Linked DNA regions of Schizosaccharomyces pombe. The protein of the gene in region 1 interacts with the protein of each later gene in a pairwise test. Each region holds a gene or a part of one and is shown on either strand. Other genes may lie near its edges. The genes, in order: trm734 and dys1.

The links.
Region 2: the proteins of trm734 (region 1) and dys1 interact in a two-hybrid assay, tested with the Schizosaccharomyces pombe proteins (one large-scale study listed by BioGRID).

The regions. Positions count from the first base shown.
Region 1 is NC_003423.3:1,179,252-1,185,049, forward strand, and holds trm734 (protein Trm734), read left to right. Parts: upstream 1-1,595; 5' UTR 1,596-1,792; coding exon 1,793-2,838; intron 2,839-2,891; coding exon 2,892-3,540; exon of another isoform or gene 3,541-3,593; coding exon 3,594-4,853; 3' UTR 4,854-4,999; downstream 5,000-5,798. Other genes in the region: mef1 (mitochondrial translation elongation factor G), read right to left, coding at 1-1,141; claudin-like protein Dni2, read left to right, coding at 5,176-5,798.
Region 2 is NC_003423.3:363,052-368,036, forward strand, and holds dys1 (eIF-5A-deoxyhypusine synthase), read left to right. Parts: upstream 1-2,032; 5' UTR 2,033-2,363; coding exon 2,364-2,579; exon of another isoform or gene 2,580-2,714; coding exon 2,715-3,491; exon of another isoform or gene 3,492-3,543; coding exon 3,544-3,603; 3' UTR 3,604-4,207; downstream 4,208-4,985. Other genes in the region: SPOM_SPBC1271.05C (zf-AN1 type zinc finger protein, involved in ER membrane translocation), read left to right, coding at 391-1,038; SPOM_SPBC1271.03C (NLI-interacting factor-like phosphatase family protein), read left to right, coding at 4,543-4,985.

The DNA.
Region 1 (5,798 bases):
CGACAAGCGGCTTCTCACTGCTAGGAACAAGGGATACTGGCTTTTCTGAGTCTGCTGCATTCAAAGCTATATTTTCGACCTCAGAAGGGTTGGGTAGGTAGTCGCAAACAGCATCCAAAACAGATTGAACTCCAACATTGGACAAGGCAGAACCCATTAATACAGGTGTAAACTTCCTTGCAAGTGTAGTTCTACGAATAGCTCCCATAAGCTGCTCAGGTGTAGGGTCTTCTTCCATTACGTATATATCAGCAATTTCTTCGTCTAAATCGGCAAGCTTTTCAATTAAAGCTGAGCGCTTTTCTTTTGCTAGTTCAATAAGATTCTCAGGAACCTGCTGAGAAATTTCGATTTTCTCACCCTTCGACCCACGATTATAAATTGCACGCATTTGTATAAGATCAACCACACCTTCAAGTTTGTCTTCTTGACCTATAGGAATTTGAACAGCTGCAGCGGGAATTTTCAATTTTGTGTTTATTTGCTGAATGACCTTCCACGGATCTGCACCCATACGATCCATTTTGTTAACAAAAGAGATCCTGGGGACATTGTAGCGGCGCATTTGTCGATCAACTGTGATAGTTTGCGATTGAACACCGGAGACAGCACAGAGTACCAACACTGCACCATCTAGCACACGTAAGGCACGCTCCACCTCAATGGTAAAATCAATGTGACCAGGTGTATCAATAATATTAATGTTATAACTTTTCTCAAAGTCAGTTTTTTGTTTTTCGTTAGCTTCAATCTGATCCACAGTACGTTCCCAAGTGCAATGGGTAGCAGCCGATTGAATGGTAATTCCTTTTTCCCGTTCAAGTTCCATGAAATCCATTTTTGCTCCGACATTATCCTTTCCTCTGACTTCATGAATGTCTTTTATCCTTCCTGTATAGTACAAAACTCTTTCAGTAAAGGTAGTCTTGCCGGAATCAATATGGGCAGATATTCCAATATTTCGAATTTGTTTAAGTCGCTTTTTATCGTTATCATTCAACTGTTCTTGGATATTCAAATTATTTTCTGATGTATTAGAAGCTTCAATGCCCGTATTTGCTACTGACGCGTAACCACGGACGACTAAAGTAGAAAGTCTGGGGAGGCGGCTTGTCAGCGACCTAAATGATAATTTTAGCATTTTATATTATTTCAATAGAATATAAAAACAGCCATGAATAACATAAACAATAAATTCCTAGCTTTGGGAACACGCTGAGGTGGTGAGAGTCGTCGAGCAAGGTGGGAGGAGCAAAGTCGCTTTGTTTACGTGTCGCGAGTTACCGCGGTAACATATTAAATTTATTTAAACGTAAATCAAATACTTACTTAACGCATTTTTAATGAATAACAAAATATACATTTTATATGGAGAATATATATGTATTTGCAATTGAATGTTGCTGATTATTTAAAAGTAGCTTGCTTATCGTCAAGAAAAAAGCGACTTCGTTCTGTATTCGGTATCTCCATGTTTAAATGATTCATGAGGCGGTCCAAGCATAGTACTTATAAAAGAAATACAACTATTTTGTCATGAAGTATTTTGGGCATTGTATCAGAAAGCGCGCTTTTCTAGTATCCACAATCGGTTTGAACCTCACCACCATCGCAATCTATTTCTACTACTAGGGTTTTTTGCTCTTTGCAGTTTTTTAAGCTGAGCTTATTCAATCCTTACTGCTTAATCGGTTAATACCATTTTTTTTCTAATTCTTCTCACGGTTTTTATGACGGCGTATTATATTTAGCTTGAAGAATCTGGACTTAAAAATCTAAGAAGGGTTTAAGAATGCTTGTTGAGGGTGATAAAGGTGTTTTAGAGCCAGTTAACTTTGTGGGTCCTGTTACTAGCTTGGCCCTTATTCACAATGATAAGTTTTTATGCTGTGCTCAAGGACCTTGTTTAAGAATTTACGATGTTTCTGAAAGTCGACACGAAAGTGATTTAATTAAATCAATTTTACTTCCATTTCATAATAGAATACATGGAATGCTTCCTTGTAAACAAGGATTATTTGTTTGGGGAGGAACCTATTTTGCAGTTGTTGATGTTGAAACGAGCCAAGTTTACTATGACCGTATATCTGACTGGATATTTAATGCAGCGGAGCTTGGTGAAGAAAATAAATTTTGCGTCGTTACATCGAAAAATCAAGTTCATCTTCTTTCGTTAAGTAAAGGTTCGTGGGAAGTTACAAATACAATATCTTGCGAGAAAACGCCTCTTTTGTTTTGCGCAACGGTACAAATAAGTGGAAATGAAATTTACATAGCTTCTGCTTCCGCTTTTCAGCAAATTTACGTGTGGAAATTCAATTATAACAATCCACCTTCTTGTGTTTCCATTGACACCTACCTTGTTGGACACGAAGGTGCTTGCTTTGATCTCAAGTTTTCATCGGATGGACGTTACCTTTGCTCAGTTTCTGAAGATCGTACCCTAAGGCTTTGGTCGATCGAGTCGTCACCCTTTTTAATAGCGACAGGCTTTGGTCACTCAGCTCGTGTTTGGCGTTGCGTGTTTCTACCCAACAAAGAAATAGCCACAGTTTCTGAAGATTTGACCTTACGTCTCTGGACTTGGAATGATAAAACGCTCACTAATACTTACACATATACTGGTCATCGCGGGAAACACATATGGTCACTAGTTGTCTCCTCTGCGAACCCAATAATATATACCGGTGGAAATGATGGATCAGTTAGGTCTTGGGATTACAAAACTCGTATTCAGGAATCCTGCATCTCAGTATCCTCATTGTTCACCTCAAAGACTTTGCTTGCTTCTTTTTGTTTTGTTAAATGTCAAAAATTATTATGCCTTGCCAAAAATGGGTAAGCGATTTGCATGCTATCAAATATTCATCTGTCTAACCCAATTAATTTAGAGAAATGTCAATTATAGATAATAAAGGAAAAAAAGCTATTCCTGCTTTGACTACCACATCGGACATGTCTATAATTCGTTCTTGGAAAAACTCTTTTTTTGTTGCTGCTGCCTCCAACAAAGGTACTATATATGTGTTTTCATATCAAAATACGAATTTATTAAAAGCTATTGATTTGCATAGGGGAAAGATTCAGCAACTGCTTACTTATCAAGTTAAAGAAAGATATTTTCTACTATCAAAATCATTTGTAGGAAAAAACCAATTTCGAGTTTACTTACAGGAATTTGATTTTGAAGCCGATAAGGTCAACCTAATTTCAACAATAGAACTGGAGTTGCCGGCAACATTTGATCCGACTTCTCTTACAGTTGATGAAGAATATTCAAATTTTTTAATTGGTTCTCGAACAGGATCGCTGGCTTTGTACAATATTGGTGAAAGCAACTACCTTTCTGTATGGAGGAGAATTCATGAATTTGATGCAATTTCATCCATTCACATCAAGTCGTCAAAACGTGATTACCTCTTAATTCAAACAGTCGGACGTGATGGTTATGTCAATTTATTTTCAATTCCGAGGGTAGAAAAAAGTGCTGTTCCTCAGGAGCTGTGTTCGAAAAAATGTTGTGATGGTATACTAAGCGGGGTGAGTATTATCTTTAAGAATATACGGTTCATGGTTCAGCTAACATATGCTAGGGTTTGTGTAAAAAATTAAAAAATGGAAAGGAAAATCAATGGGTTTGGGGTTTTCATGCATCAAATTTTTTTTTAAGGGATGAGACAAATGAAACTAATGTTTTCTTTATTGATTGTGGAGGTAGTCATCGTCCATGGGCTTTTTCAATGGAGATGGACATTCAAAGTTTTGCATCTTATAGAGCAAATCAACTTTATATTTATAGCACTGCTTTAAATCTTTTGCAAAGAAATTCTGTATTACAAAATGGTTTGCATGGGCGTGAGATTCGAGCAATGGATTTCAATCCTTCAGGGGATCTTTTATTATCAGGATCTGAAGATACTAAAGTAACCCTGCTTGAGTTTCAGAGTAATGGAAACATAATTCCTCTGAATTCTGTCAAGTTTCATAATTCAGGAATCCAATCGCTGACCTGGTTTAGCGATGATATTTTATTTTCCACTGGTGGTCTTGAAGAGTTAAATGTTTATAGGCTAATACAAAAGCCAGAGGCATATCTGAAACGGATCGTTCATGAAAAACTCTGCAAACCAAATAAAAGTAACAAGACTTACGATGGGGATCTTCGAATAACTGACATTTCTGTTGTAAAGGCAACCCATCTGGGTGAAAGAGTGTTATGGATTAATACTGTACAGTCCGATTCGACTATCAAAGCATTCACTTATAACGTAGATACGAAGCAGCTAAATTGTATAAAAAGTTGGAAATATAAGACAGTTTGTTTGGTTTTTGCCGAGGCTGTTATTTTCGGGTCTCATTTATTGTTGGTGGTTGCTTCGACTGATGGTAATGTTGCTATTTGGAACACATTTTGGAGGGATCCTCAAATTGAGCCATTAATAATTTGGATAAAAACAGTGCATCAATTTTGTGTTAAGTCATTAAATATTAGCAGGGATCAAGATGTGTTAACGATTTCTACGGGTGGTGATGATGGTGCAATTTCTCGATCTATACTTTTGTTAGAACAAATAAGTGAAAATTCAGTAGTAGTCAATTCTTTACATAACTACTTTTTTGCTGAAGCTCATGCTTCCAGTGTTACAGGTGTTTTATCAATTACCAAAGAGCTTTTGCTGAGTGTATCCATTGACCAAAGGATATTACTATGGAAAGTCGAGGGTGATTCATTGAAACCGATCCTGGAAAGATATACTCACGTAGCTGATGTGGGTGGCATGATCCGAAATAATGATTTTTTGATAATTTACGGAATTGGTTGCGAAGTTTTTAGACTGGGTTCTTTACGATGATTATTTGCTCAATAATGTCTACTACTCGCCTATTCATTCAGTTTACTCTTATACACTTCAAGGGACCTATCTTTTCATTTATCATGACGATGGTTTAAAAATAATAAATAATTGATTTGATTGAAAGGCGGCACAGCATTTATCGGTATTAAGTATGTGTAGTACTCATAATTTCTTTGTCCTCGAAGACAAAGAAACATAACAGTTACGTGTCAAAAATTTCTTTGTTTCAAAGTATTATAATAGACTTACATTCCATAATAGTTCTTCTATCCCTAAACTAATTTTGCTAAAGTAAACAATTTAAAATTACGGTTTAAGAATGGAAAGAGGAACTAGTAAATTCAGCTGGATTGGACTTGTTGCAAGAATATACAACTATATTCCTCATCCTAGTATTTTTTCGAATGCTATTTTAGGAATTGCATGGCTTTTTTTAATATTTTTATGTTGCAGCTGCTTAACGAAATCATCTATTTTTGCGAGATTACTAAGAGTAAAGAATGAAACAACCACCGTAGACGTCGGTTTCTTTGGAGTGTGTGATCAAGCTATTAATTCAACGTCTCGAGTTTGCCATGAGCTTCGAAATTGGGATCAAACAACTGGTGGTTTAGCATATGAAACTTCGAGATTTGCGTGGCTTCAAGTTCATCCTGTTCTCCTCGCGATTGTTGTTGTATTTTCAACACTATCCATTGTTTTGACTATTTTAAAGTACTTGGCTCCTGCATACATACGCCAATGGTCAATAAGTTGTTTAACTACTAGTACAGCCGCCTGTTTGCTTTTAGCACTCCAAATGGCTTTAGCTCATATTTCGGCTAATTCATATGCTGTAGGAATGAATTTAACTGGGAAAGCTACAGCAAAATTTGGGGTAGCTGCAGCAGTTTTTGGGTGGATTTCCAGTGGATTCTTTTTGCTATTTTCGCTAATACATTT
Region 2 (4,985 bases), 820 kb from region 1:
GTTTAAAATTCTAATAGAATTACCTTTCTTTCGAATTTCTATAACCTTCTTTTCACCAAAATTCCTTGCCTAAGAAAGGAAGTGTTTGATTGTTTCTTGAAATCTGCTTGCTTACTTCATCAACCGAAACGCTTCCGTTGCTAAATATCTACGCGGTTTCTTCTAAATTAAATTGAAAATTGCCTTTTACTGTTTTTTAAATCAGTGTTTCCTTTGCTACAGCTTTTATTTTTTTTTCTTTACTGTCTAATCACTATCGTATCCGGTACGTTTCTTTTCTTCCTTTTCTTTTGATTATTTTTCGATTTACTTCTCCTTTGAAAAGTTATTTGTTTCATTAAATATTTCTTGCTTCATCCTCTACACCCTTACTATTGTTTTTGTAAAATCATGGTCCTGCTGCAAATTATCGCTTCACAATCTTATTCAATTGAAGTAGACGAGCATTCTAGTCTTGGAAATATCTTTGATTTGCTATCTGATCAGGGAATCCTCCCAAAAAATGCAAAATCACTCCATGCATTTTATTACCATGGAACTCGTTTAAACATGAATATGACTTGCGCTGATTATGGCATTATCCACGACTCTGCCGTTCATATTGCACCATTACCTTCTTCATGTGACATTGATTTCAAAGACTACTCTACATCTGCTTTCCACTTACATTTTTCCCCTTTAACTCCTAATCATGCATCTACGGAAGCTGTGTCGAATTTCAAGCAATCCTCTACCATTCCCTCAATTTCTAAATCCAATTTAACAAACCCTCCTCTTGAATCCGAGAAGAGTTCTGACAAAGCATTACTTACCCGCCCAGCGACTTCTAGAAGACGTTGTTGCCATCCAACTTGCACGAGGATTACTTTGCGCCTCGCTGGCAATTGCTTGCATTGCAATGGCAGATTTTGTGCTGCCCATCGTCTTATGGAAGATCATGATTGCGTTGCTCTTTTCTCTCTCAGAAAGGAAGAGCATGAACGCAACCGTATAAAACTTGAAAAAGAACATGGTGATACCTTGATAAGTAAAGTTTAAAATCCATTCTTAACTTGAACATTTTTACAAAACACCATCTTAGAACTTTTTTTTCTTCTTCTTAAGCTGGAGTTTTATTATTACTGTTATCCTTATTATTATTTTTAATGTTTTAGCTGGCTTTGTTTGCACGGGAGGCCACGTTACCTTTCCCGTCATCTTCGTTTTCTAAATATCTTCCCTTTGACGCTCCGAATTTTATCGTTCCTATAATTTCAATCAGTAATGATGGATCCACGATTTTTTGATCTACTTTTTTTCCCTTTTCAACAGCAGTTACCTCATTTTCGTTTGCATTTTCTAATGTTTTATTTGACTGTTTAATGAATAATCGTACTTCCATTATGATACTTACTTTCTATTTTATTTTTTTCCCGTCTGCCAAGCAGTAGGCTTTTGACATTAGAGCCATGTGTAATTTTCATATGCTCTTTCTAATATTTTACTATCCTCAACTGTAATCGTGAGTTGATTTGGTGAACTCGGTACCTGTAATCAAGCTTAATTGTTTCTATACTACTCTTATCTCTGTTCGCCACATATCTCTTGAATTTACCATCTGGTATTCTCAAAAACTTTTATGAAAAATTCATTGCTTTAAGATCAAAATTACTTAACTCCAGTTGCCTGCTGATTTGGTGCAATGTTTTAATACCTAGTGTCAGCTAACTCATTTTTTTGTGGGTTTCTTGGACTTGACTATCTTGTTTTTCCGATAGATTGCTGAAATATTTTTAAACAGATGAATAAATCTTTGAAAGTTGCTTTAAAATTTTTTTAAGTACTTAGATTTAAACCAGTTATAATTCCTTATACTTGTAATGTAAAGCCCCCTAGCATTTTCGCTTATAGTCATTTGAAATCATGTATTCAACTCTTTTGGTCGGCATCCGATCAAGTAATTTAATCGCATCAATCCAAAATTTATTTTAGTGATGGAAATTTTCATTCAAGTCAGGCAATTCATGTAGATCGATTTTCTACGAAACCCAGTACCCGGAACGTATATCGTAAAAAGTCAACGAAAACTGCTTTGGAAACTTTTTTCTTCATTTTTTTAGCCTTTTGTTTAAAAATTTTCATATTTTGAGAGAGTAATTAGAATAATTGTCATCTTCTCTCGGGTTTTTTGATAAATTATAAAAATCAAAATTGTTGCTTAAATCATTCGTGTTGTTAGAATTTTTCTCCTCTACACTAAGGGAATTGAGTCTTATAATATTTGATTTTCTTTCATTAAATAGACTCATTTACATATATTAAAAAGCTTTTTTTTTTTTTTGGAATTATTCAGAAATTTACCATACCGATAATTATCGTAAACCATGGATGAATCTCTAGCAAAGGACGCCGTTTTTGTAGCCTCTTCAAAGCCTAGTGATTTGACAACTGAAGTCGTCGGACCAGATTTTAACAAGTATGATGAGAGAAAGAAGGCTGGAGGACCTGGCATAACAGTAGAAGAGTTGGTCGAGTCGTATGGAAAAATTGGATTCCAGGCTACCAACCTTCATGATGCGGTGACTATCATAAATGAGATGGTATGTTTAAAATGTAGTTTTTTTTTCTTGATATTCTTTTAGCTTTCATACGCTATTCTGTTAAAATTGTGAAAAAATATGACTTACTTTATGCCTGCTAGGCACATATCGATTGAGCAATACTAATTGTTACAGAGAAATTGGCGCGATCCCAATCCCCCCGAAGAGAAAAGTGATCGTGCTACCATTTTCCTTGGTTACACCAGTAACTTGATATCTTCTGGCGTCCGTGAAGTTTTGCGCTATCTGGTCCAGCACAAATGTGTAGATGTTATTGTTACAACAGCTGGAGGTGTTGAAGAAGACATAATTAAGTGTCTTGGCCCTACTTATGTTGGCGACTTTCATTTAGATGGGAAAAATCTTCGTGCCAAAGGTTTGAACCGTATCGGTAACTTGATTGTTCCAAACGATAATTATTGCCGTTTTGAGGAATGGATATTTCCCATCCTTAATAAAATGGTCGAGGAACAAGAGACTCTTGGTACTCATTGGACTCCTTCATCCTTTATCCGTCGTCTGGGTAAAGAAATCAATGATGAGTCTAGTGTTTTGTATTGGGCATATAAGAATAATATACCTATCTATAGTCCTGCTCTTACAGATGGATCGATTGGTGATATGCTTTATTTCCATACTTACAAAGCGACTCCTCGTCCATTAGTTTTGGATATTGTCGCAGATATCCGAAACATGAATACTCATGCTGTTCGTGCCAACAAGTCTGGAATCATCATTCTTGGGGGTGGTGTTGTCAAGCATCATATTTGCAATGCAAACTTAATGCGCAATGGGGCAGAATGGAGCGTCTACATCAATTCTGCCAACGAATTTGATGGTAGTGATGCTGGTGCTCGACCCGATGAAGCTGTCAGTTGGGGAAAAATTCGTGGCGATGCTAAGAAAGTAAAGGTATGTGACGCTATACTTGTATATAGCAAATTCTAACTTTTGATGTCTGTAGGTTTACGGGGAGGTGAGTCTCTTATTTCCTTTAATTGTGGCCGCTACCTTCGCGAAGTGAATTAAAATAATATAGAATTTAGCTTTATTTTCCTAGAACACGATTCTTATGGGGCGTTTGTTTTTTATACTGATCAAAAGCAAAGGCATTTCAATCTCCTAAAAAGTTCACCAATGTTTGGGTTTTTATAGAAAAAATTATTAAATATACATTAAAATGTTGCTTACAAAAAATCAATTATGTTTGTTTAATCATAAATTTTTTTTTACGAGAAATAATACTAACTTGTCATATTGTTTAGTTAACTGCCTAATGTCATTTTGGTTGTTTGTAATCATGAAGTGTCCGTATTAATATTCCTAATTAGCAACCGTTTAAAAACTACTAGTTTTATATTTCCTTGTCTTATGGTTTATCTCACAATCACCTTACAGCTAGCAGTTCCAAAATTCATTGTACAGCCACACGGATGAGGTGTCAATTGTGAAACATTCAGATTATGATCCACTGTGGCTAGGCATTAGTTATAATAATTATTCCCGTATTTCCGCGTATTTGATATGACCCGCCAGTTCGCAAATATAAACTTCTCAGAACTCCAGTTTACTTTCTGAACACCTATCAAAACATATAAGAGGTAGATGTGTCGGGATCACTACGAAACGCGCTAATTATAGAAGGATTGTAAGTTTAATCTTCGAAGCGAAGAAACAAACTAATTCTTTTACGGTTTTAGTCATTTCCTGCGATTATTTGTCGAGTTCCTTGTAACGTAGAATTTTAGTGCTTTGTATTGTGCTGGCTTCAAGTACTCGTTTAATATTCGTTGTCTACAAAGCTTTATATTGTTAATTTTTATCAGTTTTTGGCTTTGATATACCAAAGCACCATTTTCCAAACAAGTTTAATTTACCCGTCGAAAAAGTGATCGGGTTGATGCGCATCAGTCCCTCAATTTTCCACAGAATACAATTTTACAAAAAACGAACTTTAAACTTAATGGCACCAGAACCCTCTCTCACATATCTTTCGCAGGCCTCTTCTTGCAATGGTGCGACAGACAATAGGAAATTAGTTATTTTAGACTTGAATGGAACTTTGCTATGTCGCGCGCTTGCAGTCAGATCAGAAAAATCCGTATACGAAGCCTCTCGTAATCCTATTCCGAGACCGGGTCTTCATAACTTTCTTAAATACATCTTCGCCAACTTCTCGGTAATGGTGTTCAGCTCATCCAAACCGCACAATGTGCAAGCGATGCTCTCTGCAATCATGAATGAGGAGCAAAAAAAGGCTTTAATAGCTTGTTGGACAAGAGTGGATATGAAACTTACGAAGCATCAGTTTGACCGAAAAGTTCAAACCTACAAAAATTTGGACACAGTTTGGGAAAAAATTCACCACGACAGTACGGGTAAACCTGTTTCTTGGTCTCAATACAA